2 linked regions of the Caenorhabditis elegans genome follow. The protein of the gene in region 1 interacts with the protein of each later gene in a pairwise test. Each region holds a gene or a part of one and is shown on either strand. Other genes may lie near its edges. The genes, in order: F56D2.2 and atp-3.

Region 1 (15,836 bases):
CGTAACTTAGTGACTCTTCTAAAAAATACTTTACTCCATATATGGCCATATTAGTTTATCTCGTACAGGAAAATAGTCAACCGTGGCCAAAATTTCGGGCTAATGATTATGGAGGCTATTGAAATTTTCTATACTTTGTTACCTTAAATATTTTTGATAACTTACATAATTACGTAGAAAGTGTAGCTAAAATATAGTAAGGGTAGTTTCAGATAAATAATTTTTTGTTGTTATTTAGTGGACATTAAATTACTTTTTTAAAAGTTAAAATACCCCAGCTTCTCTCAAAAAACCAAAATCTTTACCTCAATAATTCCCTGGATTTCAGCATTCTTATCACTCCAATCACTGGATTTCGCCAGTTTCTTCTCTCTTAGAACACTTTCCAATGCTTCCAATTCATATATTTGCAGGTCACGATCAGTCATTTTTTATCGATTTTTAGACAAGAGACGCAGAGATTCAATAGACGGAGTTTAGGTAATTTAGAAATGAATGTTCAGGAATTTATAGAAAATATTTTACATTATTAGTCAAAAATGTTCAAACAATATATGAGGAAAGTTTGCGGAACAAAAATCAAAATTAATTACTAAAATATTGCGAAATATTGCAAAATTGTAATGAGTAAAATTGCGCAATGTGATAGATAACCTGTTGTGGAAACGATGAGAAATACAATTTGAAACTTTAAATTTAGAGTATTATCAGTGAGAAATTGTTCAACTTAAATTGTGTTTTTCTCTACGTGATGTGTACTTTAATTGCGTTTCAATTGTTTGTATTTAAACAATCGAAGAGTTCAAATTTGCAGCAATGCTTGAAATTGCCCCCAAAAGTTCAATTTTTCAATTTGCCAAACCTTTCACTAAAATTTTTGAAAAATGTATCTATCCATGTACCTTATTCTTCAGGAATTGATAAAATCTATCGATTCATAAAAAACTAAAGCTATTCCAACAGAATAGAAAAACACAATGTTCAAAAATGAAAGAATATTAAAATCATGTGAAAAGGGAAAACTTCCAGAAAGTCGACTCTTCTCGTTTACTGCGTTTTGTGAATATCTGAAAACTTTGTACGGATTTGTTACCATTTCTTCAATAGGCCGTGTATCATTCTGTCAATTTTTGGTGGATAGGTAAAATGTAACAGCCAATTTGATTTCTGAAAAGTTTTCGAAACATTTTTAAATATATTTAAAACATTTATTTAGGTCATACAAGTCCCGATATTCGAATATGAAACTACATCCAATCACTGAAGTGCACCATTGTCCAGCCTTTCCATTTGTTCTGCAAATTAAAATTTATCTACAAATCTATTCTGGTGATTGCGGCTGGATAAAATTTTAGTCCAACTCCCTGATTACCTCGTATTTTATCTTGAAAATAGTCGTTTTTTTGGACAAAAGGGGCGTGTTGGGGTAATATCTGACATTAATCTGAATGACTCCATACTCGTAGCGAACTCGTTCAATTATTCCGGTCGGATAAGATTCAAAAGATTTGATGATTCCCTGTGCCGCTTCAATCATGCCACTGACAGCTGAAAATAACTAAATTTCAAAATTGTTTCTGATATCGTACTTACGAAGCATATCATCCGGAGCAAAAAGATCCACTACTGCAACTGGGTCCCCTGATTTGATAGCTGCCTGGAACTTTTCGAAGAACTCCTTCGGTACGTTGGCATATTCTTCGGGGACTGGATCCAATGAAAAGACAATAGAAGCACTTGAAAGAGCTAGAAGAAAAATTGGAAGACGCATATTTTGGTTTGGCTACATGGCGAACTGAGCATTTTTATAGTTCGAAATGCTAATTCAATTAGAATGTGAAAATTGTCAATCAATGCGGAGGTTGATGTTTGGTGTCGTATTGATGATCATGATCATTTTGGGCATTTTGAAGACACCACATGGGTTCTGCCGCGTACGGTATCCGGTCTCGTCATGATAAATTTTAGCTGAATGAAAAAGCGTGTGCAGTGTGTGGCAGAGGAGTTGCGTCATTCCACGTTTAAAAGTGTGCCCAACATCAGATATACCTTTAATCCTCCAACCCGTCGGAATCAAGTAGCTCACACACACACACACACATACATAATCTGAGAGCACGTGTAGTTTTTGTTACATGCTCAATTCTAAAACAGAGGGCGCGAGAGAGAAAGAGGCCATCTCTAGGACAACGTACTAATGATAGAGAGACGGCATCCGCTTCTGTGTGATTATGTAGCTCTTTTTCTCTCGTACCTGCCTCTTCTTCAACTTGTGATATTATCCCACGTATTCATACTCTCTTCTTCACTTTTTGTTTGAAGCTTCTGGTTGCCTTAGGCCTCGTGGGATAATATGCAACGTTTTGTGCGCTTTAAGAATATATTCACTGTAGCTTTTTCAAATAAGATCCAGCTTAGGTTCAGTTAACGCGGCTCCGGAAGCTTCGTCACGAATTGGATTACTTTGACTTTCCAGATTAGAGCTTAAGCTTTCAGAAACATGCGAAGACGTAGCAACAGACAATATGTTGATCTCTCATATTTTCGCGAAACTGCCGATGCGCTATTATTCGACGTTGAAACCAATTCACGCGAATTCACCAATGAAATCAACACTGTGAAGGAGGAGAAAGCCAAGTGGGATGAGGTAAGCTTTCACACAAAGTTTAACTCGCCTGCCTACCTGGGACCTAGGCCTGATTTATGCCTACTTCAAAAGTGGGCGTGGCATGTGTCGAAATAACTTTTTTTCAGAGAACACCGCAAGGGTATACGGCAAAGCCAATTAGTTTTGAGGGCGCAGACATATGGTGTTCTTGGATATGTACAGTACCTGGACCGAGAGGAAGCCCCTGGGAGGGAGGGGAATATGAGGTTTAATTACTTTTTAGTTCGCAAAAGTATATTATCTCCAGGTTTCCGTGAACTTTCACAAATGGCCTATAATTCCGCCAATTTGTGAATTCAAAACGCCGCTTCATCATCCGAACGTGGACCTCAGAGGTTGGTTAGAACTGTTTCGAAAAAATATGTTTGAGTGTGAAATACAGAAAACGGTAGCAAAAAGAAACGCATTATTACAAAAATCTTTACAGGATCAATTTATCTTAAAATGCTGGAACAAGAGCACTGGTCTTCTGAAACTTCACTCAAGAAACTTCTGAGGGAAATCAGCAATCTACTTGCAACGCCCGATCTTACTCAAGCTGCAAATATTGAAGCCTGGATGGAATATGAGAATCAGCGGTTAGATATATTTTAACGGCGCACAGCTGCAAATGTGAACAAACTCGGCCACCTATTCTTCTAGGCCACTTCGATTTGGAGCTAAGCGTCGTTGAACAGAGAAAAGAGAACACTTAACTTTTAAAATTATCTTGTTCCAGTGAAAATTACGAGGCTAAAGCTCGAGCTTATGCTTGGACAGTTAACCCGAACGCCGTGGGATACATGGAAGTATCCGAGAATTCCGGAATTCAGAGGGAGACAGCAAAGGCTAAGTTGGCAGTGCAAAATGGTGCCATGGAATCGGACGAGGATGATGACGATCTACCAATTGACATCGAAAACTAATATTACACAAATTTTTATATTTTTGGTATTGGCCAACGTTTTCTGTTGAAGACCTTTTCCACTTTCTCAAAACTTTCTTGCCGACACTCTATGGAATTTTTCAGATTTTTCTCCAAAAAGGTGCCAATTTTCTATACACATTTATTTAAATCCCAATGCCCCTTTTTTGCAGCAAACTTACCTGACCTATGTGATAATTTTTCCCATTTTCCCTACTTTCCCGATCACACCAATTTTTCATTCTCTTTCCAAAACCATGTCTTTTTACGAAAAAAGTGATTATTGTACCAAATAAAGCTATTCCAAACTCGTTGAGTCGGGGTGTCCTCCCATTATCTCTTAATGAAATGGCAGAACAAGAATAAATCTACGTAGTCAACATTTGTAGGCAGGGAGGTATGCTTGACTAAGCTCCAGTCTACTAAGGATTTAAAAAACTCGGCCACCGATTTCTTGTTCTCGGCCACGTTGCAATGAACCGCAATGCCCTTCAAAAAGAGGTGATACTCGTGATTGCACGTCATTACCTCATCCCCAATGTCTATATTTACTTCTCCCGCACACCTTGTCAGATATCTGCACTGTTCATGGTGTGCTCATCGCCTCGCGGAGAGAGCTCTAACCCAAAAGTTTTAAACGTAAAAAGCCGGAAACGGTATAGGTTTATCGGTTCACCGAGAGCGCGCCTAGATCGTGTGGTACCGCCCCTCCTCGCCTCCCGTCAAAGGTCTCTATTTACTCCCAAACAGTGTGCTCTCGGAGCCTCCCGATCCCCCTCGCTGACCATTGTCCACTCCACTCGACCGTGCACAGTTGACTCCTTTTTTTGTACTAGTCGGTTGTTGGAAATGAAACGTATTCTTTTGATTTCTCTATTTTCGGCGGTTGTCAACGGCTTTTACTACAAGAGAACTTTATACGGAGATGCTAATGAGGGAGCTGCCATGCCAGACTATGTTAATGCTTATTATGTGAGTTTTCTTGGCTTGTAGGATTTTTAAGTGGCAGTTTCGGCAGAGATTTCACATCTAAAATATAGTTTTTGAGTTGTTTTGCAACAAGTCAGCCAAAAAATCGGTGGCCGAGTTTTTTGCTTTCCGCGGCCACGTAGCGAAAATCCCAAGGTTAATTATTACAAGGTCACAACCATTTCGGTATGTTGTGTAGATTTTTCTAATTGAAACTAGATCAGAACACAAACGCCTGCTTGCTTGCCTTCATTCACCTACGCTTGTATCAAGATTGTGCACATTGAAAGTAGGCGTGTAGACAGGCACGTAGGTACCAAGGACTGAAGATTTCATGAAAACAACACCAAACACCAGAGTCCAGCAAGAAAAAAAACCAAAAAATAATAGGCAAGCTTTCATGAAAACGAGTCTGCCTACCAAGCCTTATTGAAAATTCTGAACATTCATTTTCCAGGGTTTTCCAACAATCCCAACACAAGAGCCACGTCGGCGACCATCTTTCAACATGAATCCACCACAAGGATATTTTCATCGGGAGCATCCATTTGACTTTGGGCCATTTGGTTATATGAGAGCAAGGTAAGTTCCGGAATAGGTGGCCAAGTTTTATCTCCTCGCGGCCACTTAGTAAAAAACTGACCGTAGCGCCAGATTACAACGATAATCTATTCAAAACTCACTTTAGACGGTACCTTAGCAACAAATAATCTTGATTTTCCTTCAGAATTGGAGAAGCCAACTTCGGTGAGCCCATGGAGAAAACTGACCGCGAGCGAGCTATGGAACGGGCCAAACCGGGATTTTGGCGTCAAAACCAACGCGAAACCATGGATCGGATCAAGAAAATTATTGGAGAGCAGAGAATGAATATGGAGCAGAAGCAAATGCATATTCGAAGAGTTCTAGCAAATGAGAGTGATGAGATAAGGGTAAGAAGATAAATAATTTTTTCTCAACAAACACAAACATTTTTCAGTCCAAATTCGCTGATATTCACAAAAGACTGATCATGAAAAACAACAAGATGACCGTCTCCTCTCCAGTTCCAGAGCTTAGCAAACAGGCGAAGAAGCTTGAGAAAGAGGCCAAGAAAATTATGGAAAACAAGAAAATGAGTGTAGAGAAGAAGCAGGAGAAACTTGACAAACTTATGCTTAAGGCTCCAGAGAACGTTAAGAATGAGCTCAATGCTATGAACGATTCGGGGTGAGCATTGAGTTTTTCATGGTAGGCAAGACGCGCATGTAGGCAGGCGCAGGTTGCATGGGAGGCAGGAAGCAGGCGTTACATGGTATTCCTAAAAAGATTCCAATCCGTGTAACACTCTCGGAGAATTCAATCATATCAAAATTGATTGATGCTTAGTCGATTTTTGTGTTTCTCCTCTATTGCTCTCTTCGAAAAATCTCAAATCTTTCAGATCAACACCTGCCCCAATTCAAGCTCCATTCCCAGCTCCAGGACAAACCGAGGCTCTTAATCGGGCAAACCCATCAATGGCTTCTCAAGTTGAAGTAATGACTCGTAATGCACCAACTCAAGCAGTGGTTGAAGCTCGTCAAATCCGAGTTTCCGAAGATGGAAAAACTGTGGAAATTTAAATAATCTGTGCTCTATGAGCAATTCTTCTTTTTGTGTATTTTACGTCTAATTTTCTCAACTGCCCAACGTCTTTCCCTTGTGCTCCATCCCCAGAAACGACGAGCTATCTGACTGTATATACAAGTGATTTCAGCTCGGCGTTTGCTCACCTGCTCAGTTCGCCTTCTGTAAATATAACCTTAATCCATTCAAAATCGTTGTTATCAATCTCAGCATATCAATTGTTTATCAGTGTTATTTAAATAATAAATATATGGGATTTTCTGCGCTAATATATTAGAAAACTCGTATCTTTCCAATAAAAAGTGGAATTTGAACATCCACGCTTTGTTTCTGTCAGATGGAGCGCGTTTGGTGCATGTTTTTTCAGCGGTTTTTTTGCCCTTTTAAAAAAGTCTAGATTTCTAAACATTTTGAACGCGATACCAGTTTTTCTTGTTCTAGTTTGTGTTAAAATAATTTCTACTAAATTTCAGATGTCAGACGACAGCCGTGAAACTCAGTTATTCGAGCTAGAAGCACTGGAGAGTGTGCTAAGGGAGAATAAATTGACGAGAATCAGTGATTGGGCGGATAAAAATGCAGAAATTCGGGGAATAATTGAAGTAGAATATTGAGCGTATAAAGAAGTTTATTATTAAATTTTTTCTTGATTTCAGGTAGGATTTGACACATTATCCGATCCAAAAGTCACAATTGAAGGAACGTCTGACTCCAGCGATCATTTTTCCATCCCCCTAGACATTCTTCCACCAATCCGATTGAAATTTCATCTTCCAAATGATTATCCCTCAGTATCATCACCAAAACTTGAACTGGAAAGTTATTGGATGAATCAGGAACAAATGACATCTTGTGAAACCGAGTTGGCAAGGATTTGCGAGGAAAACCAGATGATGGAGGTGCTTTTTATGTGCTATCAAACGATAATTGATTCGGTTAGTTTTTTGTTCTTTTTAACAAATTAAATATATAAAAATAAGTTTCAGATAGACCAATCTCACCTAAAAATCATCAATCTGAACGAGGCGTGTGCGCTGAAAAACAATGGAGAAACTATTGAATCGCTGAAAAAGAAAATTCTTGGAAAAGGCGAAGAAGCTGCTGAAGAGCACTTTGTCAATACACTTTTCGATTGTGAAGTAATTTTTTCGTAGTTATAAAATTATACTATTTTTTCAATCTTCCAGGTATGCTACGACTCTCAAATGGGCCAACATTGCATCAAATTCCAGCCGTGCTCTCACGTTTTCTGCAAACAATGTACTTTCGATTATTATCGTACAATATCGAAAGGTGTTGTGGTAAGATCCAATCGATTTTTTTTTTGGAAAAATTGGATCATTTACAGTCAAAAGCCATGCAGTGTCTAGCAGAAGGATGCAAGAGTGAAGCACAACAAAATACGGTTAAGGAGGCACTCGGAGATGATTTATATGCAAAGTGAGATACATTTCCAAAAAAAAAAATCCAAATTTGAATTTCCGCCAGATACGAGACGATTATGCTGGAGAAGGCGATTCGAGAGATGGAAGACACCGTGGAGTGTCCCAGAGAGAATTGTCAAAAAGTCGCCTACGTCACGGATAGGTATAGTTTAAAATATAAAAATAAATGTAAAAAAGAAGAACATTTCAGACAACGCTTCCTGGCCGAATGCTCCTACTGTAACTTTTCGTTCTGCAATCTGTGTAAGCAGACATTCCACGGAATAGAACGCTGCAAATGGAAGAAAGGAGACAAAGAGCTTCTTGTCAAAAGATGGAAGGATGGAGATGAAGCTGAGAAGGCTGAAATGTGCAGGCAATTTGGAGGAGAGAAGCGTGTCGAGGAGCTTGTGGAGCGGTTCCTCAATGAGGAATGGCTGGATTCGAACAGCAAACCGTGTCCCAAGTGCTCGGTGAGCATAGAGAAGAATGAAGGATGCCACAAGATGCACTGTACGAAGTGTGACACCTACTTCTGTTGGTTGTGCTCTGAAACTCTTGACAAGGAAGATCCTTATAAGCATTTTCAGGGAGATGTTGGTTTTTTCTTAGAATTGTGTAAGAAATGTATTTTTCATTTTCAGGGATCATGCTCTGGACGTCTGTTCGAAGGAGTTCATCACGATTTGCTAGATAACGATGACGATCTTCTTTTCGATATGGCATTTAACGACGGTAGTGACTATGACAGTGATGAGACCGTCGAGTATCCTGAATCCGACGAAGATATTGATGCGGAGGATTGGTTAGAGCAAGAAGGACATTTTGACGAGCTTTTCTTTAATTAACATAACTTTACGGTTTTCTCTAAATTTACGGATTAATTGTCAAATAAAATGAATAGTTCATCCTTTTAGATTTGGTGATTGATTTAAAAGTGAAAATAGAATTAAAAGAAAGGGGTAAGAAATAAACAAAAAATAAATAGAAACAATCAAAAAATTTGACAAGGGGCAATAGGGATAAAAGAGGTTTGGGGAAATGAGATCAGATGATTCGGAGGCATCAATAGCCTCTGCCAGCGTTTCTCTGCAGGGTCTGCATCACAGTAGTCAGCTTCCGTTTCGTGTCTCCATCTGGGAAGTTGTCGAGATCATAGTATTGAGGGGCGATTTGAAGTAGCCTGAAACGCATATCTAGTTAGGTTTTGAATAATATAATTTGCAAATTAACTCACCATTCAGGGCGCACATCAGTTACAGTTCTGATGAAGTTCTTTGTGGTTAACACGAACTCATTGTAGAGTGCCCACTCCGGCTTATGATCGAGAACTGTGGATGGATGAAGGTTGACGAGCTGATTATCTTTCACCGTCACGTAGTGTCCACTTCGTTCCAGATGAGCGACTTGCATGAAAAATCCAGCTACAAGAGCTTTCCTGATGTTGAGATAATAGTCTCGAGATTTGAAGTCTGTTGAGACACGTCGAAGATTGTACTTGTCCATAACACGCGACAATTGTGTGCGGACTGTGTCGGCAGTTTTCATAGTTCTGTAGTTGATGAAGTTATCGTAACACCACTGCGGATCTTCTTGATCTGAAATATGCGAAACTAATATTTGAAAAAAAGAAAAACAAAGTCAACTTACTCTGCTTGAACGAATGATAGACATTGAGAAGTGTGAGATGATCTCCATCAATATGTGCAAACCGAGCCTTCGCCTCATCGGCTTCTGTTCTCATTTCATTGGGACGAACCCAGCACTGCGGAACCGAGAGCATTGCTGTGATCGACAAAATTTCATTTGAGCAATTGAGTTCAGTGGATGTGATAAGCATCTTTGCGAGCTGAGGATCAAGCGGGAACTCAGCCATCAGACTTCCTAGTTCAGTGAGCTCTCCATCGTCGTTGATCGCCTGAAGATAGTTTAACAGTTCCAGCGCTCTCATCAATGTCTCTGGTGCGGGAGGATCCATGAAATCGAAGTGCACAAGATCTTCGGTTCCGAGCTTCTTGAGCTGCAGCACAACAGATCCGAGATTCGACCGAAGAATTTCAGGATATGTTTGATCTTGCATTTCTGATCCGTAAGCCGTTTCGGTGTAAAGCCGGAAACATTTTCCTGGCTTTGTTCTTCCGGCGCGTCCAGCTCTTTGCATAGCAGAAGCTTTCGAAATGGGACAAACAAGCAGCGACTCGACACGAATTCTTGGATTGTACACTTTTTGCTTCGAGAATCCAGGATCGATAACAAAGACAACGCCATCAATAGTCAATGATGTCTCAGCGATATTTGTAGAGATGACACACTTTCTGCTGATTGCTCCATTCGGTCGATTTGGTGGTGCTGGTTCGAAGATTCTCTGCTGTGCTGCTGGGGGAAGTGTAGAGTACAACGGAATGCAGCTGAGTGCTCCAGCATCTGCTCCCAAGGCTTGAATCTCACGATCTATTCTTTTGCAAGCTTCTTCGATCTCTTCTTGACCAGTGAGGAACAGTAAAATGTCACCTTCAACCTCCTCGACCATATGAATTTGGATTACAGTTCTGATCGCGGCTTCTAGATAATCTTTCTCCGCATTTGGAGTGAAGAAGATCTCAACAGGGAATGTTCTTCCGGGAACACTGAGCAACGGGCAATCCTCGAAATATCTTTGAAACTTTCCTGCATCCAATGTAGCGGACATGATTACGACCTTGATATCAGCTCGATTTCTCACGATTTCCTTGATCAGTCCCATAAGAATATCTGTGGCGAGTGTTCTTTCGTGAGCCTCGTCGAGAATAAGGACTTTGTACTTATCGAGGAGCGGGCTGTTCATTGCTTCTCGCAGCAACATACCGTCTGTACAGTATTTGAGAACAGTTCGTTCGCTGATGCAGTCTTCGAAACGAATACTGTATCCCACTTCTTGTCCCAAAACTACGTCCATTTCCTCAGCAACTCTTGTCGCAACGCTCATCGCAGCGACCCGTCTAGGCTGTGTGCAAGCCACCAATCTCGCTTGACCGGGTGGTTGTCCTTGTTGCTGCTGCTTCATGAACTCGACGGCCCACTGTGGGATTTGCGTGGTCTTTCCGGATCCCGTTTCTCCGACAAGAGTGATGCACTGGTTGTTCCGGAGCAGCTCCATAAACTTTTCCTTATATTCCCATACTGGCAATTGACTTCTTTTCTCCCAAATTGCCCAATATCGGTTACTAAATGGCTGGTTGTTGTATGGATTGATTTGGATCTGTAAATTTGGAGATGAGAAACAAAAATTCGTTTACTAAAAAATACCTTCATATTTCCAACTGCCCCAATCTGTCTTTTCCGGTCGGGGGAGGAGCGTCTGTGTGGCGATCGGGAGCGGGATCGGGATCTGCGGTTAGGAGATCTGAAAATAAATTATTATTATTATATTGAACTGGGGAAGCAACAATTTTACTTACCTTCTTCTGTCTCCGCGTCCGCTGCCATCTAAATCCAATCGGTGTCTCGAAGACATCGCAAGTTTCTCCTTCAATAGGAAAATTAGAGTTTCAAGTGGCTTTATAAAGCGTTATACGAAAATATTAGGTATTTCGAAAAGCTACGCGCAGGATAAATGGATTAAATGTATGACAAATTAAGAAAACTAGTTGAAAAAGGAGAAAATCAGCAAATATAGAGATATTGGGAACAAAAGACAGAATTTCGCAGAATATATTCGGAATAAGTATGGAGCGATTTACGGGTGCGCCTTTAAACTTTCGGTGGGTCTCGAAGCGATTCCGCTGTCTGCGTCTCTGCACTGCTGGGCGGCTTGATGGTTTTAGTTGTTTTCAGCTTCTTTTCGAGTTTCAGATATATTTTTTCAAGTTTTTCAATTTAAAATAATGTTCTCTGAATTTTTATCTATCGATTAATATCCTATTTATATATTTTTATTTTCAGAGAACAGGGGAAAACTTGAGAGAATGGCTCTCAGACTCGCCGTCAGCTCTGCTTTGCGTCCGGCTCTCAATAGCCAGGTAATTTTCTTGTGAGATTGCTAAAAGAGAAATAAAAACTCTTAATTGAAAATAAAATTGAAAGTTGTATGCCCACAGGTCGCATGGAGAACGTAACAACGATGATAATGTAGAAAATCTAATTAAATTAATTAATTTTCAGGTTCGCAATGCTTCATCAGCTGTCTCCGTGAAGGACGTGCTTGCCAGCGCTCCACAAGCTGAAGTTACCACCTTGAAGAATGGCTTCCGTGTTGTCACCGAAGATAATGGATCCGCCACCGCTACCGTAATTTTGCCCACTAGTTTTCTAAAATTTCTTTTGTTTTAAATTGTAGGTGGGAGTCTGGATCGAGACCGGATCTCGTTTTGAGAACGAGAAGAACAACGGTGTCGCACATTTCCTCGAGCGATTGATCCACAAGGGAACTGGAAAGAGAGCATCTGCTGCTCTCGAATCCGAGCTTAATGCTATCGGAGCAAAACTCAACTCGTTCACTGAGCGTGACCAAACCGCAGTTTTTGTCCAAGCTGGAGCTCAAGATGTTGAGAAAGGTAAATATTTGTAACTTATAAAATTGTGTTAATTTTCCAAAATTTTCAGTTGTCGATATCCTCGCCGATGTTCTCCGCAACAGCAAGCTTGAGGCCTCAACCATCGATACCGAAAGAGTTAATCTTCTCAAAGAGCTCGAAGCTTCCGATGACTATCATCAGCTTGTCCTCTTCGATATGCTCCACGCTGCCGGATTCCAAGGCACCCCACTCGCTCTCAGCGTTCTCGGAACCAGTGAGAGCATTCCAGTAAGTATTTATTTGGGTTTACATAAAGTTGATTATTTTTTCAGAATATCTCTGCTCAACAATTGAAGGAGTGGCAAGAGGATCATTACAGACCAGTGCGCATGGTTCTGTCCGCTGTCGGAGGAGGAGTTTCCAATGTTTCAAGCCTCGCCGATAAATATTTCGGAGACTTGAGCAACGAATACCCACGAAAGGTTCCACAGGTCGATGGAACACGATTCACCGGATCTGAATACAGATACCGCAACGATAATGTCCCACACATGTATGCTGCTTTCGCTGTTGAGGTACAAATAATAAATGTGTGTTCAGTCTTTCATTTTACTTCATTTTTAGGGTGTTGGATATGCCCACAAAGATGCTCTCGCTCTTCAAATTGCCAATCAATTCATTGGTAAGTTGGCTTTTGTGTGAATTTTTCAATTCAAACCGTAATTTTGATGAGTTTTAGGCCAATGGGATGTGACCCACGCTACATCCAGAACAGCTGCTTCCAGACTTGTCCAAAAAATCGGACACGACCACGGAGTCCATAACCTCCAGCATTTCAACATCAACTACAAGTAAGTATCTTTTTTTGCAAGCTTATTTAAATTTTTATTTTCTTTTTTTCAGAGACACTGGATTGTTCGGAATCTACTTTGTTGCTGATGCTCACGACTTGAACGACACCAGCGGAATCATGAAGTCTGTTGCTCACGAATGGAAGCATTTGGCCTCTGCTGCCACAGAAGAAGAAGTCGCCATGGCCAAGAACCAATTCAGAACCAACTTGTACCAGAACCTCGAGACCAACACACAAAAGGCTGGATTTAACGCTAAGGAGGTTTGTTACTCTGCAGAAAATGCTATGGATAGTTATTTCATTATTTTCAGCTTCTTTACACCGGAAATCTCAGACAGTTGTCAGAACTTGAAGCTCAAATTCAAAAGGTTGACGCTGGAGCTGTCCGCGAGGCTATTTCAAGACATGTGTACGATCGTGATCTTGCTGCTGTCGGAGTTGGTGAGTAGTTTTCCACTTGCTGTTGTTTTTACATTATGAGAATTGCAAACAATTTCTCTTTTCTAGGTCGCACAGAAGCCTTCCCCAACTACGCCCTTACTCGCGCTGGTATGTCGTGGTGGAGAATGTAAGCAGTGAACGATGACGTCTTCCTCATCTCGGATTCCCTATGTACTTTTCGCTGTTCGTTCACCGTCTCTCTCTCTCTCTATCTGTTGTCAGATACACTTTTTTAGAAAACTTTTTGCTGTTCATTTATTTTCTTTTTCCAAAAATTAATTTTAATTTAGAGTAGCGTTATTTGTTTGTACGGTTCGGAGTAAAATGAATGAATTGACGAATTGTGCCAGAAAATGTATATCTGCTCGATTATTTTCTGCAGAATTATAATATCTGAATGATTTCCTGATGAGATTGTCTGCCCATCAAATCAGCGCCCTCAATTTTCCCCCGATGCAAAAAAAAAAACACAACAAGACCACTCCCAATTGGACGGAAAGATATCTGCGTCTCCGACCGATCCATTGCATCTCTTGTCCACCGGTTGACTGGCCTTGACCACGTTCGCACACTTATTGTCAGCCTCACCCGAGGCTATCCGCTTACTGAACCCCACTTTACGCGAAACTTTCTGTATATAGGTGACTGGCGTTAAATAATAATAGCATCGTTCCATTTTACAGCTAATTTCTTACCTGAAAGTTTTCGAATCTTGAAAAAAAAACTAACTGTCATTTCAAGTAGTAATTAGTAATTCTTTATTTCAATAAAAATCAGCGAAAATGATCCAAAGTCTAGAATTTTAACAGGAAACAGTAAAATTGTAGAATACTGAATTCCCACTTCTCCTCGAGAAGTACACGAGCTGCGTAAATCGACACATGGTCGTGTTATTGGTTCACGAGTGTGCGCCTTTAAAAAGTACTGTAGTTTCACCTTTGTTTTTTCAACTTTTGTTGCTGTCAGTTTTTCACGATTTTTCGATGAAAACATACTTCCTGATTGATCAACTTAAATTTAAATTAAAAAAAAAACTTCCCGAAAAACCATTAAAATTAAATGAAAATTCCGGAACAACAAAAGTTTGAAACTACAGTACTCTTTAAAGGAGCACACCTTCTCGTATTTAGCACAAATTTGTCGTGTCGAGAACATTTATCGAATTATTGGTCCAAAAATTGTCTGGATATTATGTGAAAGCCCGTGATTGAATTTTTTCTAGTCCAAAAAACATTTCAATTTGTTTTTTTTCAATTTTCACTTTGACGATCACAAGTTTCATTTCTTTCTCTTCTCTTGCGATGAATTAATAAAATATCATGTGACTATATTTCAATTCTTTTTCCAAGTACATTCTTTCAGAATTTCTCAAAATTTTCACCCCAACAAGATGACATATCTGCGTCTCTCCTATGTACCACTTCTAAGTTTATACTTACTCAAAGTCTATTTACATTCGGACCCACCAAAAGAACCTTTTCCTTTATAAATTGTTTATTCTAATAATGGACTCTCTTTAATACATCTATCCGATCCCTCTTCCAACTGACTCATTGAATCATCCGGTTTCCGACAATTTATCCGTCTATTTCTCCTCCAATTCATGATCATTTCCATTGCTGACTCATCGTTTTATCAATTCTTCTTCTTTTCTTTATGTTTACACAGTTTGCTTTTCTGCTCTTTTCCTCCCCATTTCTTCGCCGAAATCTTGAGACTTTTTGAACCATTTTTTTAAACGAAAAATGTTCTAAACTTTTTCTATATCAGATGGCAAAAGACATTTACAAGACCTTCAAACGATCGGTCTCCGGAATTGTCGGTGGAAATAATATTAATGGAGAAGGATCTTCAAGCCCGTCGACGAGTGCACCACAAGTAAAATATCGTGGTGGGACCGGAAGAACGTGGATTCATCCGCCAGGTTTTTTAAATTTTTACTTTGAAAAAATTGAAAAAAATTGTTTGAACAATTTGTTTCATCTTTTTATTGAAAATATGTTGTTTATTAAAAATATGCCGTAATACAACACATTTTTCAAAAAAAAATTCCTGATGAAATTTTTATAAACATTTTTTTACGAATTCCCAAAACAAATTTTAACGCCTTTTTTGTAACTTTTTGTAAAGTCGCTTTAGAAATTTGTAAAATTTCATAAAATTTTTGTTTAAAAATAAATGTCTTTGCTTTTCCAAAAAATAATTTTTCGAATTATCTTGAACATTAAAAAATCTTCATTCGACAATTATTCTTTTCTTTAATTTTCAGATTATCTTATCAATGGCCATGTGGAATATGTTGCACGGTTCCTTGGATGCGTCGAAACTCCAAAAGCAAATGGAAGTGACGTGGCAAGAGAAGCGATCCACGCGATTCGATTTCAACGCGATCTGAAACGATCTGAACAAACGCGGGAGACGGCGAAACTGCAAAAAGTGGAAATTCGCATCTCGATCGACAATGTGATCATTGCGG
Region 2 (14,869 bases), on another chromosome or scaffold:
GAGAAAAAGCTGACTGGCGATGAGAATTGGGCGTGGATGGGGCAGCTTTACAAACGATTTTTCATGAGAATACTGTGTGCTTGTATCTCTCTGAGAGCATGTGCCATTCCGTGCTGATCACCGAGATTCACTTCTTCTTTCAAAACCGAAAAATATAAATTTTTGTTCGAATTTAAAAAAATCAAAACCTTTTTTTTTTGGTTAAAACTGAACATCGAAAAAAAAAACGTTTTGGGGTTTATTTTCTCAAAAATAGTGAAGGTGCAGGTTCTTGTGAGAAATTTGTCAGAAAAACTTGTTGTTGCAGTGTTTTCAGATTTTTTTAAACCAAATTTTTCGTTTATTAAAAAATTGAAGTATGGAAAATTTTTTTTTCAAAATCTTTAGTGGTTTTTAACCGACAAAAAATGTTTTTAAAAATAAAAAAAAACAATTCTAGAAAATATCTGGAAAAATGAAGAATAGTTCAATATTTAATGTTGATTTTAATGAGACATGATTAAATAGAGAAATACCCTAAAAAATTAAATTTTAAATACTTTCGAAAGCGAAAAGCAGACATTTTTTTGAGATTTTTATTTCAAAATTTCAAAACTTTGGGTTTCGTTGCCAACTTTTTCAAAATATTATTTTAACAACAAAAATTATATTTTCAAATTTCAAATAAATTGCTGGGGATATCCACCATAACGAAAAAACTGATTATAATTGAATTATTTTTTAAAAAATTTGTTTTTCATTTAAAGAATTACAGGAAATGTAAAATTGAGAAAATAATGAGAAAATGGTCTCAATTAAACTTTCACCGTAAAGAAAACATATAAAATTAACAACAACGAACATTTCAGGTGACACTTCAAAGAGAGAAAACCAACAATAAAGTTTTTTTAAAAAATCAACAAAAAATTAACAATTCTTCCAATTATTCTCCGAGTAGATGCTTCTTGTTGATTGGACGAATAGCTCTTCCAGCCTGAAAATATAAATATTATAAATAGAGAAATTTTATTCAAAATTTGTGTCTAGTAACTCATGAGGGGAAAAATGTGAAAATAGTTGGAGAAAAGAAGTAAGAGAAGGAGAAGAAGAGCATTTCACAGCTGAGTGAGGAAAAGCTGTCCCTAGAAGCAACACACACATCATCGATTTTCTTTCGAGCTTCAACAATGTTTTGAAACATTTCAAGTTCTTATCAATGTAATAGGAACGTGTGAAAACCCAGCAGAATGTACGGCGCCGAACGATGATTTTGAATTACTTTCAGTCAACAACTCGATTAGTTTTAGTGACTCGTCATGGTGTAAACATATATTTGATGTTTTTATTTCTTTCTAAATAGATTCTAACAATTTTCAATTGCAAGTTTTGTTGGTTGATTTCAAATAATTCCAATATTTATGATTACTGTAATGGTTTTTTGGAAGAGGAGACAAGATTTGCTGTAACACAGGGATTACTGTAACTAAAACGTCTAGAAAATTGCTCCTCTTCAATGATAATCTTTAGAAGTTTTCTTGCTATTTTTAAAAGTTATTCAAATTTCCTCGCTAGCTCACTGATCTTCTTCAATTAATACAGGTGTGAGCCAATCCAAATATGTATTCTCTTGTCAATCATTTTTCGTCATTCTTTCTCCGATCTATATGAACACCCACCAACCTCTACACAAAAAGATGACCTGCACCCGTTTGGGAGCATTCGGTTTCCTGCGTCTCATTCTAACCAACATACACAATCTATAATATGACTCGTTCTCTCATAAACGTGAATAGAGAGAGAGAAGCAGCGCGCGCGCACACATCTAAGGGGAGGGATTGTCCGATACGAGAAAAGAGAAAGAGACATAGGAAGAACGTAAGGACAACACAGCGTTCCTCTTCATCTTCTCGTCTTTCTTATTCTGTTACTAGTCATTAGTTGCCATTCGCATTCTGGTGGTAGAAAGAGCACATCGGAGATATATCTACTTTGTCTCTTCATTTTCTTTTTTTTCCGTAAATATTACACCTAGATTCAAAAAATCTAGGCAGATAGTACACTAGGATAAAATACATGCACTTGATTTAAATTTTTATGAAGTCAATCCTGTTGTAAATCCTACTCCGTTCGAACTTTCACTTTCATTCTTTTTTCCTTCCGTTGCCGGTCTAACTTGTCTCTTTGTATATATTATTTTTTTTCAGAAAACTACAACTAAACAATGAACTCCATCGTCAATGGACTCTACACCTTCATGTCCACAACCGTCGTCCCAGCAGTCACAGAACAGGCAGCGAACCTTGTTGGAGGAGCTTCTGCACTTGCCGAAGGAGCAACACAGGCTCTAACACAAATCAGTCAGACTGCTCTCGAGTGGGGATCTGGCTCAGAGGATGCCACGGCTTCTTCTGAAGTCTTCTCATGGGAGCAACAAGGGGCGGCGGCGGCGTCGTCTGATCTTCAAGAGGATAAAAAGGAGACGACAGAGGATGTTCACCAGGAGGCGATAGGAGCATCGTCACCAAATACATCGATCGAATGGGAAGTGATCCATGAGAATCCAGACGAGACGGGTCCAATCAGGCACAATCAATTTGAGATGGTGCAAAACAACTACGAGTGGATGAAGAATTCCAAATGATCTGGGATGAACGAAGAAATCCTATACATGTTCGGGTCTATTTTAATATTACTGTCCAATTTATGTCATGTTTTCGGTAATATTTACCGGTTTTCACAATGTTTCACAATAAACTTTCGTACGTGATCAATTCTACAATGTCCTTGGCAATAAAAACTACTTCAGACAAGAAATTTCAAAGACAACAGGGATTTGAGGTGTTAGAAATCATGGGCAATACTTAATGTAAAAAATCTATTAATAACAGAATATCGAGCTTCTTATCGGTTAATTTCGCAACCTATTACAACTCGAACAACATTCGCCAGTTTGCGTGTTCATTTTTGCATATTTTCTTGTTAGAACAGTGTTTGTTTGTTTTTATAGTCTACTTTTTTTTTAACGAAAAAGGGAAAAGCTTGTGACATCAAAATGAACTCGTCACATGTGCCGTTCGGTTCCTGTCTCCCGTGCCAGTGCATATATATGCACAGATGATAGATGTTCGCTTATATTTTGTGACATTATACACCTTTCTAAATATTTTAAAATCGAAAAGAGCTGTCTCAAATGTAAAAAGTGGTCCCTATTCCGAAATTATATCAAAATCAGTTTTGAAAAAATTTATTGTGAACAAAAGTTGCAAGAATTTTTGAATTTTTCTTTCGGCTGAAAATTCGAAATATTGTGCAATTTGATTTTAAAAAAAACCAAATAGTTGCATATGATTTTAGGGGAGCATATGCAAGGTTGCACTGAGTCTCATAGGGGTACTGTATTTTTTTATCTCTAATTCTCTAAACACTACTACTACTCGATTCTCTAATATATACAGTTTCTTCTTTCATTATTTTCGATTTACATTTTTAAATAATATGAAGATTTTAAAAATTGTATTCTTTAAAAACTTATCGAAACTTATTTCTAAACCAAATTTAAAAAGACCAACTCTCAAAAACCTATTATATTGATCCATATTCTGGGACTCTATATTGTCTCTTCTCTTCCTCTACTATGTTGGAATAATAATCAAATGGTCTCGTTAGCCGCCAGAAAGTTATTGATTACAAAGGTGTATACTGTTACATCAGATCGAGCGTTTTTGTGCACAGTCACGCCTATTTGGCAGCCTGCCATACGTTGGGTGTTCAGTCGTCCGTCGTTTTTTTTACCTAGGCTCTATGTTCTTAATTTCTTCTATGTAGTTTGATTTCCATATTACCTCGATTTCGTAACTATCCCTTTTTTGGCACAATAGATTATGAAATTGCGTGTTTGTTTCCTCAGCCCTTCTATTCATATTTTCCTTATCTAAAATGACTAAAACTTATTTCATTTTCAGAACCACAAGTTCTCAAAATGTCTTACTTCTCCTATGCAACCTCCATCTGGAATTCCGTATCAGAAATGGTCACATCTGCAGCTGAAACCGTCGGAACACTTGTCAACGCGGTTACTGAAGACACTACTCCAGTCGAACTCGTAGAGGTTCCACAACAAGAAGAACCAGCTGTACCAGAGAAGCTAGAGACTTTAGAGCCTGCAGAGGTGGAAGCATCTTCCAAGGAACAACTGGACGAGAAGGAAGACTACGATATGCTCGATGATCATGCTTTGTATGTCATAATGTACGAGTACGCTCGAGGAATCACCACGGAAGAAAACGTTTTCGTTGATTTGGAGGAATCGTTGCCATGTCATTGACTTCGCAAGATCTTCGTCTAGTTCGGATGATCAAAACTAATTATTTTTAAATTATTCATGTTTTCCCTACTTATAACCACTTCATCTGTTGTTTTATCAACTTTTTTTTTGTTTGAAACAATTCAGGTCCAACCCATCACACACTCCCAGTCCAATGCCTTTCTTTCCTTGTTTTCACTCGTTTTTTTCCACTGTTCACGGTTCTCTTCTCCTTCTCTTTGTTTCAACATAATTTTCATGTTCAATAAAACTGTAAAATATAATAAAGCTTACCTCAACAACAACCGCAGGTTTGCACAACTCATCTCGCATCTTCTCCATATTCCATTCAAGACCCAACGGTTGTTTTAGCACAGCCTCATAGTCTTCAACTCGGGAGTAGGGGAATGGTAGAGAACGTGGCTGGATCTTTCCGATACCCTGAAAGCTCATTTTTGCAATTAAAAAATCTAGGAGATATATCAGGTGCTTACATCCTTAGCCGTCATATTTTCAGCAATAATTACTCCGTTTCTCTCTCCGTCCCTTCTTCTCTTCTCTTTTGCTTTAATCACAAAGTTTTGGCGTCGCTTCTTCTCAGTCATTCCTGGTCCAACCCATGAGCCCCATCCGGCCAAATTGAGATCTACATCTTTAACTTTTTCCTTTTCTTTCACTCCTTCTTTCATATCTTCAAAATCTCCAATGACGTCATCATCCTTGAAAGCTTCATTGATAACTTGAGCGGCTTCTGCAGGAAAAAATCGTTGGAATATAGTTAATAAAAAGAAAAAAAAAGATTAAGCTTACCTTCATCAAACTGATCCATTTTCTCAACAAAATCCGACGAAACTTGTGTCAAGTCGTTTGTGTTGAGCTCTAGAAATTTGCTCGGATCGATTTCAATTTCCTTTTGTCGTTTTTCAGCGGCATGCACTCCAGCTGAATCCACTGCCTTTTCCACTTTTTCATCAAAAGTTTCTGCACGTTTAGCCTCCATCTTCGGATCATAATTCTTATCAACATATGATACTTTTCCAATTGTTCCTTTTCTCGCTGACTCCTTCGCTTTTAGTAGCTTCTTTTTCTTCTGCTTTGCCTTTTTCGCATCTTCTTTCTCTTGCCAAGTGTCATCGACGTCGAATAGAGGATTTTCACGTGATGCACCAGTATTCGCTGAAATACTTCGAGTTATAGCAGCTTCTTGTCGTTTCTTGGCTCGCATCTGAGCAAGTGTCACTTTTTGAGCATCGGAGTCTTCGAGGAAAGTATCAACTAGAGCCGTGCCAACTTGTTTTCTGGATTCTTTCTCCGCTTCTTGGGCGGCATCCTGAAATTTTTTAAAATTAATTTTAAATATAAAATTTTAAAAAATAGAATGTTACTACGTGAAGAATAAATCATCATTTTTCAAAATCCTCTACTTGATAACTCTTTTATTTTTATTTCTTCGATCTCAAACTACAGTTGTGGATATATCGATAACTATATCACAAATGATGAGCATGGAGTTATTTGGTTTACAGGTATTGTTTGAAAACTAAAAAATCCAAAAAATATAAAAATTTCAGCCAATTTTTATGATACTTCTGCAACTTGCTCTGTGTTGGACAGTTCCGGCAGCTATTCTGGTGAACTGCGGGAAGAAGTCGAAAGGAAAGAAAAAATACTCAGATGAAACAGGAACAACTGGAGGAACTACTGGAGGTGATGATGATGACGATGATGAGGATGATGAAAAGCGTCGTAAAAAGAAGAAAAACGATGCGATTGCGGCAAAAAAGAAAAAAGCAGCAGCCAAGGAAAAGGGAAAGATTCCTGCCGGAGCTCCAAAGCCTCCGAAAAATCGTGCTGCAATTGCTGACACCCATGATCCCAACTACCAGACATTGGCCGGATTGAACGATAACGTTTTTGAGCAAAAACAAGGCGGTGGTGGTGGTGGAGCTGCTCCAAAAGCTCCGGACGGAAAACCAGGAATGGCCGGAACTCATGATCCTAACTATCAAACTCTTGCCGGCTTGAATGATAATGTTTTCGATAAGAAAGGTGGTGGTGGAGCAGGACCACAGGCTCCAGCAGCAGGAGGTAAACCTGGAATGGCTGCAACACACGATCCAAACTATCAGACTCTTGCTGGTTTGAATAACAACGTGTTCGATCAAAAAGGTGGTGTTGGTGGAGGTGGAGGAGGAGGAAATGGTGCACCAGCTCCACCAAAAGCTCCTGCTCAACATGGTGCTAAGGCTGCAACTCATGACCCGAACTACCAAACCCTGGCTGGTCTCAATCAAGATGTTTTCGGTGCAGATAAGAAGAAAGCTTATTGAGAACTTGAATCCGTCTAATGAATTAGTAGTTTATGTCTCACTTACCTTGATTAACTCATGAATACTCTTCTTTTTATTTTGTGGATCTTCCGTTGAAGTTGGAGCTTCACCATCAGAATCTTCAGCGGTAGTTGCGACTTTTGCTTTTAATTCTCTTCCCATTCTGAAAAAATATTCCCATTTTAAAATTTTTGTTCCAAAATTAATATCTAACCTCAAATGCTCATCGAGCAATTTTTTGACCTCTGGATTTCGGCTAGCATGTTTTTCCAGCATCTGTTTGAATTTCTGATTCTGTCCGCGATGCTTCAAACTTCCTCTTTCCATGATTCGCTGTAAATCCATTTCGGCAAGTTTTTCATGAGCAGCGGATGGATCACGAGCAACCAAATCATCAAACTCTTTTAAAAGTTGTTTTCGTTTTTCTCTTTTTAGAATTCGATGATATCCTTTCGATTTGATTTTCTTCATATATCGATTCTTGGCCTCTTGGATTCCAACAATAGCACGCATTCGTTGCATTTGTGAAAGACGATCTTTTGCCATTTTAATATCTGTAGCCTTCATCAATTCCATCTCCTTTTCGGTCAGTACGGGCTCGGTTTTCTCGTCCTGAACGAAAATAATTATTAGGAGCAATTTTTCCACTTTTATTAAATTTTAGAACAGTTTAATTTGGAAGCAACAACTTACACCCCACATAATTCCATCCGGTTTTGTGAGAGGGAAGATCAATTGATCACTGACGCGGTTGCTTTGAACGAGCTCTGTCCAATTTTGTGTCACTTCTTTTCTGTAAAAATATCTTATTAATTAAATCACAAATCAATAATCTCACTTCAAATCAGTGAACGCAATTTTTCCTTCAATCTCCTTTCGAGCTTCAACATCTTTTAGAGGAATTAATGTTTTGCTTTTCAGCTTCTTTTTCGTAGTTGTTTCATCTGCTGTTGCTTCCGATTTTCGCTTCTTTCCTGTTTTTTCTGTCGACTCTAGGCCACCAATTCCGAGACTTTGCTTGGCTTTGTTGGTTGAAGGTCTGTAAAATTGCAAAAATCCTAAATTTAAAAAAAAATTTGTTTTTCAAATACCTTGAAACTGTAAGATGAGATAGAAGAGAAGTTGCGTCGGTTTTTGTTTTTGATGCTTTCTTCAGACGATTTTTCTTTACAGTTCCAGGTGTGTGAATTGATTGCAGAAGCTTCTGATGAGCAACGTCATCAAGATCCGAGTCATCACTCATTTCTGTTTCTCAAATTTCTATAATTTTATTCTGTTTTCTTTCAAAACATTATTAAGAAGTAAATGGTAACCGACAGAACGAGGTCAATATAATTGAAATTTTTCACAGATCTATTTATTTATTTGTTGAGAGTACAATAAAGAAACTTAAAATTCTGGAACAAACAATTACACTGCTGATGTTATGACCCACTAGAAAATGAAGACAATACATAAAACCGATTACTAAACAACTCTTTAAAACACCATCTTCAATGATTGGGTATGATGAGGCAGGGAACTGGTTTGAAGCACAGATTGAAAATCGGGATGAGGAACTAAATTTTTTGGGAAAAATTTAGATGGCGGTGGCAAGGGCATCCTTGTATTTCTTGACACGGGAAGCGATCGACAGATCGACGTACTTGTCTCCGATAGTGACAACAAGTCCTCCAAGAATCGATGGCTTGACGGCATAAGTCACCGTGAGCTTTTGTCCAGACTTTCCGATCTTGCTAAGGGCATCAGACAATGCCTTCTGGTTTGATGAGCTCAATTCTTCGGCGGAGGTGACCTGAAAATGATTTTTAGTTTTTAAAACGGTACGTACGAGCATCTTCAGGATTAAAATTTAGACTTGAAAATTTCCATTTCTACGTATTGAAAACATTCGCTATTCATATTTTATAATTTTACGAAAACAAATTTCAAAAGAAACATTGTTTTTCTTGGCAGTTATAATAAAAGTACCTGAACGAAAAGTTCTCCACGGTGAGCGCGCATGATGGATTCGAATGAAGAAACAACTGACTCGAGCTTGTTCAGACGTCCGTTCTCAGCCAAAAGTCCTGAAAGTTACAATTAAATTTGTAATTACACGTTAACAAAATACCAAGGAAGTTTCCAGTCTCTTTGGTAAGCCCCAATTTAGTTGAGATAGCCTCGATGGCGGTCTTCTTCTTGTTGGCCTTGAGAGTTGGGTCGAGGACGAACTCTTGGAACTTCTTGTTGTCCTTGTACACGGAGCGAACATTGTTCAGATCTGTGGAAATCTGGTCGAGCTTGTTCTGTTTGTGTCCGGCTGAGTAAAGAGCGGCGGCGTAACGTCCCTCGACTCCATGAACCTGAATCGGGGTCTTCACCAGCTGAGCCTTAGCGAGAGCAGCGCTCGTGGAGAATCCGCGTTTCATGAGTTGCGCCATTACCTGCAAAATTAAGAAATTAGGCAAAATTTAAATTTAATAAATGTATGCAAGCAAACGAATTAATTAAAACAACTTTTTAAATTTAATTAAGAAAAAAATAATAAAGAGTGGATTTTTACATACTTTTTCGTGAAGAATAGTCAAATATAGGTAAAGAGGCTTGCTTGGGATAAAAATTCGCATAAAATAGTACAAAAACTTAACTGAAATTCGATAAAAAAGAACTGAAAGCTAATTTCAAGAGAAAAAGGGCGGTCGTTGGCTGAGTATCACTCTCTTAACCATAAGCCAAGGTACGCAGCCAAATCACCGGCTGTCAGTTCAGTAGAGCGCATTTGGTGCTGCAATTTTTAGACAATTTTTTTTGTGGAGTTTTCTTGTTTGCAAACTTTCCATCTCGATAAAATGCATGTTCATGACAGGTTGCGTATAAAAGGTCGCAAAATGTTGAAGCTGCAGTTGAAATTGTTATCTTGTATAACTTCTAGTCATATTAAACGCAATTTTTATTGATTTTCATGTTACGTCATATATTTTCAGATCATGGGTACACAATTGGCCATCCTAGGATGGTTGGCTGTGGCTTTGGTGGTTGCTGCTGCAGAAAATAAGGTTTAATTTTAATAGTTGCTTCAAAAATCTAACATTTAGCATTTCAGAGTGCTTACGCACAAGCTGCAGACAACTTTCTCGATGAGCTCGCTGGAAAAGAAGTAGAAGCGGTTCCTGTGCCCGATGAAAAAGATCAAAATGAACATCATGAACATTCGTCTCATGGATCACACGCAGGTCATGGTGGACACGAGGGACATATGATGAAAATGTGGTTCCATGGAGGATTTGAAGAAGTTATTCTATTCGATTTTTGGAGGACGGATTCACTTTTCGGTAAGATTTTCATTATTCAATTCAAGTTTATTTCTTAACTGTTAGTTAATTTTAACAACTCTTCAGGTATGCTTTTATCGTGTGCTGCTATTTTCATTATGGGCGCCACATATGAAGGTGTCAAGTGGTTCCGTGTATTTCTGCAAATGACGCAAACACAAGCTCAGGTTCTTGCCAACAAATCATGCGTGGAGGTAAGTAATTTTATATTTCTCTATGTTTCATTAAAAAATATCTTATCCGACCTAGTTTGCACTTCAGACAACGCGGTCTTCTGGAGGCACTTGCCATCAATCGGTTACCCACTCACAGAGCAACAAGCCTCAATCTGAACCGTTCCTGATATCGGCTTCGGTAGCGAGGACCCCTGCAACTTCGCCATTCTCTCCTCAACGGCTCATTCAGATGCTCTTGTACATTTTTCAATTGGTGCTCGCCTATTGGCTCATGCTCATTGTGATGACTTACAACACTTATCTAAGTAAGTACAAATTTCTAGTTTTAAATCAATAATTCTGTGTATTTTTTCAGCTGCTGCGGTGGTATTAGGAGCAGGATTTGGACATTGGCTGTTTGCAGTTCTCCAACTCCGAAATTGTGATGGAGAAGTGACGGATTCGTTCCAAACCGATGCGTGTCATTAATAATTGCGATCTCCAATCTCAATCCTCAAACAAATCACCAAACATCATCAATTCATCTTTCCTCTTTATTAGTTGATTTATCTTTTAAAATGTATTTCCTCACTAATCGACCTTAGTTTCTCTCCTGCGGGTCGATGAGCACCTTAGGATCCCGCCTCTTTTTATCACCAGAATCTCAGTCAGAAGAAGTGTCTAATTCAGAGCAAGCTGTCAATTTTCTGATTTTATTTATTTATTATTGAATTTCTATTTGCCCTATTGAAGTTGTAAATGATAATGAACATTTGTCCTGTTATTGTTCTATCATAAGATTGAATCTTGTAGCTGATAAGATACTGCACCTCGTGAGAAGTTATGCAAATAGTCAATCGGAAGTATTAAATAACAACGTGATAAGCCTTACAAAAGATCATCTAAATAGTTTGAAGAAGCGGAATCAGGTCTTGTCGCGATTGAAAAGCTATATTTGATATTGAAGTTTTGTTATAAAATTTCGAATTTCGAAAAATAAATCGTAATCATTTTTGAAATCTCAAAACGTGCAATTTTCATAAATTGTTTTCTTCTTACTTCGAATTTCCATTTATTTTCACTTAGTATTAGAAAACAATTTCGAAAAATTATTATAGGGACGCAGAAAAAACCAATGTACACACTCCGCCTCCGAAGCATGGGTCTCGTTAGGTATTAGGCGCGCGCCCTATAGGGGCCCTATATATATATATAGGCGGCGAAACTGTAAACTCAAACGTTTTCTATTTTTTTCGCCGATTTTCAAACATTTTTTCTTTTAAAAGTAAATTTTTTCAGTTGTTTTTGCATCAATTCATGAAGCATAAAAATAATAGAACATGTTCTCCTAATACCTAAAGAGACCTAATCTTCAGGGGCGGAGCGTTAGAAATACATTAAAGGCGCGAACTCCCTTACGTCTTTCAGTCGCGTCGAGACCTGCCATCGTATTTTCAAAAAGAATTATTCAAAAAATGTGATAAACTTCAATTGAATACATAAATATTTATTTTTGAATACGAAAACAGTTTAGACGCGTCTGCGCTTTCTCTCTGGGCATGGGCAGTATTCGGCATCGGCTCCAACGGCTCCTTGTGGTCCAGCTTGTCCTGGAGTTCCGTCGTTTCCGTTGAATCCGTCCTTTCCTGGCTGTCCAGTTGGTCCCTGGGCTCCAGTTTGTCCTTCCTCTCCTGGATTTCCGTTGTTTCCTGGCTCTCCACGTGGTCCTGGCATTCCTGGGCGTCCAGCGACTCCTGGTTGTCCCTTTCCGGTAAGTCCATCGCGTCCTGGTGGTCCAGCAAGTCCTGGTTGTCCGTCTTGTCCTGGAGTTCCTTGATCTCCAATATCTCCAACACGTCCTGGCTCTCCGTCCTTTCCTGGGGTTCCACGCTTTCCAGCGTCTCCTGGAAGTCCTTGGAATCCTTCTTGTCCTGGAAGTCCATCTTGTCCTGGTGGTCCAGCTGGGCACTTGATGCACTCCTTAGGGAAGTCATTTGGAATTGGAATGTTAAGTCCTGGAAGTCCAGTTGGTCCGTTCTTTCCGTCTGGTCCAGTGCCTCCTGGCTCTCCTGGGGCTCCTGGGTTTCCTGGAGCTCCGGCTGGGCATCCTTGAGATGGAAGTCCGCAAGAGCATTGGCTGTTGGAACGCTTGTGACGTCCGAAGATTCCACGAACGTATTGCTCAGCAGACTCTCCGGCTCCGTGACGAACGTCGAGAAGGGTTCCCCAAGTGTCATCAGAGATATCTCTGAATCCTCCGAGCTCTCCCATCACATCATCATACATGTCATTGATGTCATTTGTGATGACAAGTGCAGCCCAAAGGCAAGCAACGATAGCAGAGATTCCGCATGCAGCGCCGAATCCGACGACGGCCTTTACCATTTTCTGAAAACACAGAGACTTTGAGAAAAGTTTTAAAGATAAAGTTAGCAAGTTCAAAAGAAAAAGGAAAAGCTTCTAATTTGAAAAGTATAGTGTTCCACATTCATCTCGTCTCCTTTTATATGCCTCCTCTGATCAGGTAAATCGAAAGAACAGATAAGAGATGAAACGGAGAAAACTTGCCAAAGAACTGGATAAAATTGCCTCGCCCCATGAGGACACACCTTCATTCTATTCTCAAGGATAGGGATTAAAAACCATTTAAGAATATATTATAACTTTAACTTATATTATAAACAGAACGTGATTAATCCAGAAAATGTAAGCTTAAATGAAAAACACAAAGATTTATTGTAATTTATATGACAAGATCAATCTCTGTGCTTTTTTCGAAGATCAGTCAGCTTCTTGTTGAGATTCAGAAGGTCACTGAAATTTTCAATAATTTTTCTCTGCTTCTTGATAACTGATCTTTGCAAGTGAACTCTCTGATGAAGACGATTCACCGGCACATGAGCACTTATTGTGGAAAAAGATGAAGTTGTGGAATAAGTGGGCAAAGATGAAGGAGATGAAGTTGTGCCATCCTTTCTGAAAGAATGATTTTACCTAGATAGTTATTGAAAGGTTCTTTTTTTTCCTTACGTGGAAATTGTTTTAATTTTTATATGTAAAAACACAACAATTGAAACAATGGCCTTCGAAAAATGTTCAATTCAATTCCATGGTAGGTAGACATTTTCAAAGGCATACCTGCCTATATAACAGCCATTGCCTATTTTCACCAAGTAGATTTACAAATTTTTAATTACCTAAAAACGTTAAGCACCAACAATAAAGATTTTCAATAGAAAACTCATAAATCATTCATTAATATTGAATTCCGAAAGACTTTAAGTGATATTGAACCGTGTGTGGTAAAAAAGAAGACGAAGCACAAATAAGTAACAAGGATATTGATTTGAAATAAATATTTGTTCAACAACAAAAAATGAAAACAATATTAGACTAGACAAAAAGGTAGATAACCAGATAATATCTAAATGTAACTTTCACCATCAATAACCGGCTCATTCACTCCAACAAATATCAATGGGGATAATGCGATTTGCCCGTTTTTCGATAATTCTCTGAAATAAAACATTCAGGTGGTGTCTAAAAGAAAATGGAATGCAACTTACAAATCTTCTGACTCATAAATCTTTTCATCCGATGTAACTATTGTAATATTTCCCTTCCAATTCATGGGCTGAAAGTTTAAATATGTCACGAGTTAATTTTATAAATATTACCTCTCCAATTTTGGCCCATACTTCTATGTTCCGCAACTCTTTCAGATTGATAGCTCCAATACTTTCCATTATCATTGCCTGAAAATTAAGATTATTTGCGGCAGCAAAATAAACTTAACTTATTATCTTCGTGCTGAAAAACTCATTAAATCATTAAATTTTAAAATACATTTTTTCTTTCACTTTTAAAAAGTTAAAAAATGTTTTCTGCTGTTTCCAAAAGTTCCATCATTAACACCATATAAAAAAGAACAGAAAATCTTGAAAAATTCTTTTTTTTTCGAGAATTTCACTGAAAGCTGACGAAAAAAATTCGGAATATTTTTGCGATTTAGACGTGACATCAAGAACTTATAGTTTTAACTTTAATCAAAACAATTTGCACGTAACTCGAAAGGTTAACTTTTCTAGTACATCAAGATAAAGGACACTATATAACAAGGAGAAATCTCTGATTTCTTTCATTACGACATTACTCGTCCTCACTAACAAGCTAACTCTACTAACAAAATGGTCAAGAAGATCACTGTCTACACGGCTTTTGGACAATTTCTCAAGATGGTCGAACTGCAAATGGAGCAGGAAATGGAGAAAATGAATGAGATTGAGACTGATAAACTTCCGATTGATCATCAATTGAGTGACTATCAGAATAACATCGAATCGGTAACTTTTGATTTTTCCGGGCTAACAGAAAGCTTTGTTTCTCAGGGAAATGATCGTCAAGTTCAATCATGCCCAGTTGATGTGTCTATTCCAAAAGAAGTCATGAAGTGTGCAAGCTGTCCTTTGCTATGCTTCAATTGCTCAGTTCAAATGCCTGTCTCACCCGTTCCAACAACAATCGAATCCCGTAAGATCAACGAGACTACTCAATTGATGATGGAATTTTGGAAGATTGTTGCTTCAAAGTCTGAAGAGGAAAAGCTCCCATCACTATTCGAAAATGTTGAGGGACTGTTTTCTGTCCCATTTTCAACTTTTGGAACGTGGGATGATGACACCCTGTCTGGTGTCACATCGCTTAATTTTGAAAAGTCTGATGAACAACTCTCCGAGCAAGATGATGACAAAACCACTGTTTGGAGTTCTAATTTCCCATCGGCTCATG

Evidence for each region.
Region 2: the proteins of F56D2.2 (region 1) and atp-3 interact in a two-hybrid assay, tested with the Caenorhabditis elegans proteins (2 studies listed by BioGRID).

Annotation. Positions count from the first base shown.
Region 1 is NC_003281.10:5,580,641-5,596,476, forward strand, and holds F56D2.2 (RBR-type E3 ubiquitin transferase), read left to right. Parts: upstream 1-6,622; coding exon 6,623-6,751; intron 6,752-6,805; coding exon 6,806-7,084; intron 7,085-7,135; coding exon 7,136-7,288; intron 7,289-7,336; coding exon 7,337-7,450; intron 7,451-7,497; coding exon 7,498-7,589; intron 7,590-7,637; coding exon 7,638-7,736; intron 7,737-7,784; coding exon 7,785-8,169; intron 8,170-8,217; coding exon 8,218-8,421; 3' UTR 8,422-8,488; downstream 8,489-15,836. Other genes in the region: F56D2.5 (RBR-type E3 ubiquitin transferase), read right to left, coding at 306-428; F56D2.8 (DUF4440 domain-containing protein), read right to left, coding at 1,248-1,295, 1,373-1,548, 1,594-1,771; uev-2 (UBC core domain-containing protein), read left to right, coding at 2,501-2,647, 2,755-2,874, 2,916-3,003, 3,096-3,246, 3,387-3,573; F56D2.3 (DUF148 domain-containing protein), read left to right, coding at 4,422-4,544, 4,999-5,123, 5,269-5,473, 5,521-5,750, 5,965-6,145; Pre-mRNA-splicing factor ATP-dependent RNA helicase ddx-15, read right to left, coding at 8,639-8,756, 8,811-9,171, 9,224-10,811, 10,859-10,955, 11,011-11,066; ucr-1 (Cytochrome b-c1 complex subunit 1, mitochondrial), read left to right, coding at 11,518-11,571, 11,714-11,839, 11,889-12,105, 12,155-12,354, 12,399-12,641, 12,691-12,748, 12,800-12,917, 12,970-13,180 and 2 more; ced-6 (Cell death protein 6), read left to right, coding at 15,131-15,284, 15,630-15,836.
Region 2 is NC_003279.8:5,420,586-5,435,454, forward strand, and holds atp-3 (Oligomycin sensitivity conferral protein), read right to left. Parts: upstream 9,235-14,869; 5' UTR 9,222-9,234; coding exon 9,162-9,221; intron 9,039-9,161; coding exon 8,726-9,038; intron 8,682-8,725; coding exon 8,584-8,681; intron 8,408-8,583; coding exon 8,192-8,407; downstream 1-8,191. Other genes in the region: erp-44.1 (Thioredoxin domain-containing protein), read right to left, coding at 56-107; utp-14 (Small-subunit processome), read right to left, coding at 923-973, 4,577-4,723, 4,777-5,033, 5,093-5,612, 6,658-6,775, 6,827-7,224, 7,306-7,405, 7,451-7,651 and 1 more; F27C1.4 (uncharacterized protein), read left to right, coding at 2,201-2,620; F27C1.3 (Dauer Up-Regulated), read left to right, coding at 5,779-5,808, 5,854-6,612; F27C1.2 (Copper transport protein), read left to right, coding at 9,582-9,650, 9,698-9,926, 9,993-10,120, 10,176-10,407, 10,458-10,570; Cuticle collagen dpy-5, read right to left, coding at 11,612-12,466; F27C1.11 (Doublecortin domain-containing protein), read right to left, coding at 13,506-13,596, 13,648-13,715, 13,759-13,836; F27C1.1 (Ovule protein), read left to right, coding at 14,269-14,424, 14,470-14,869.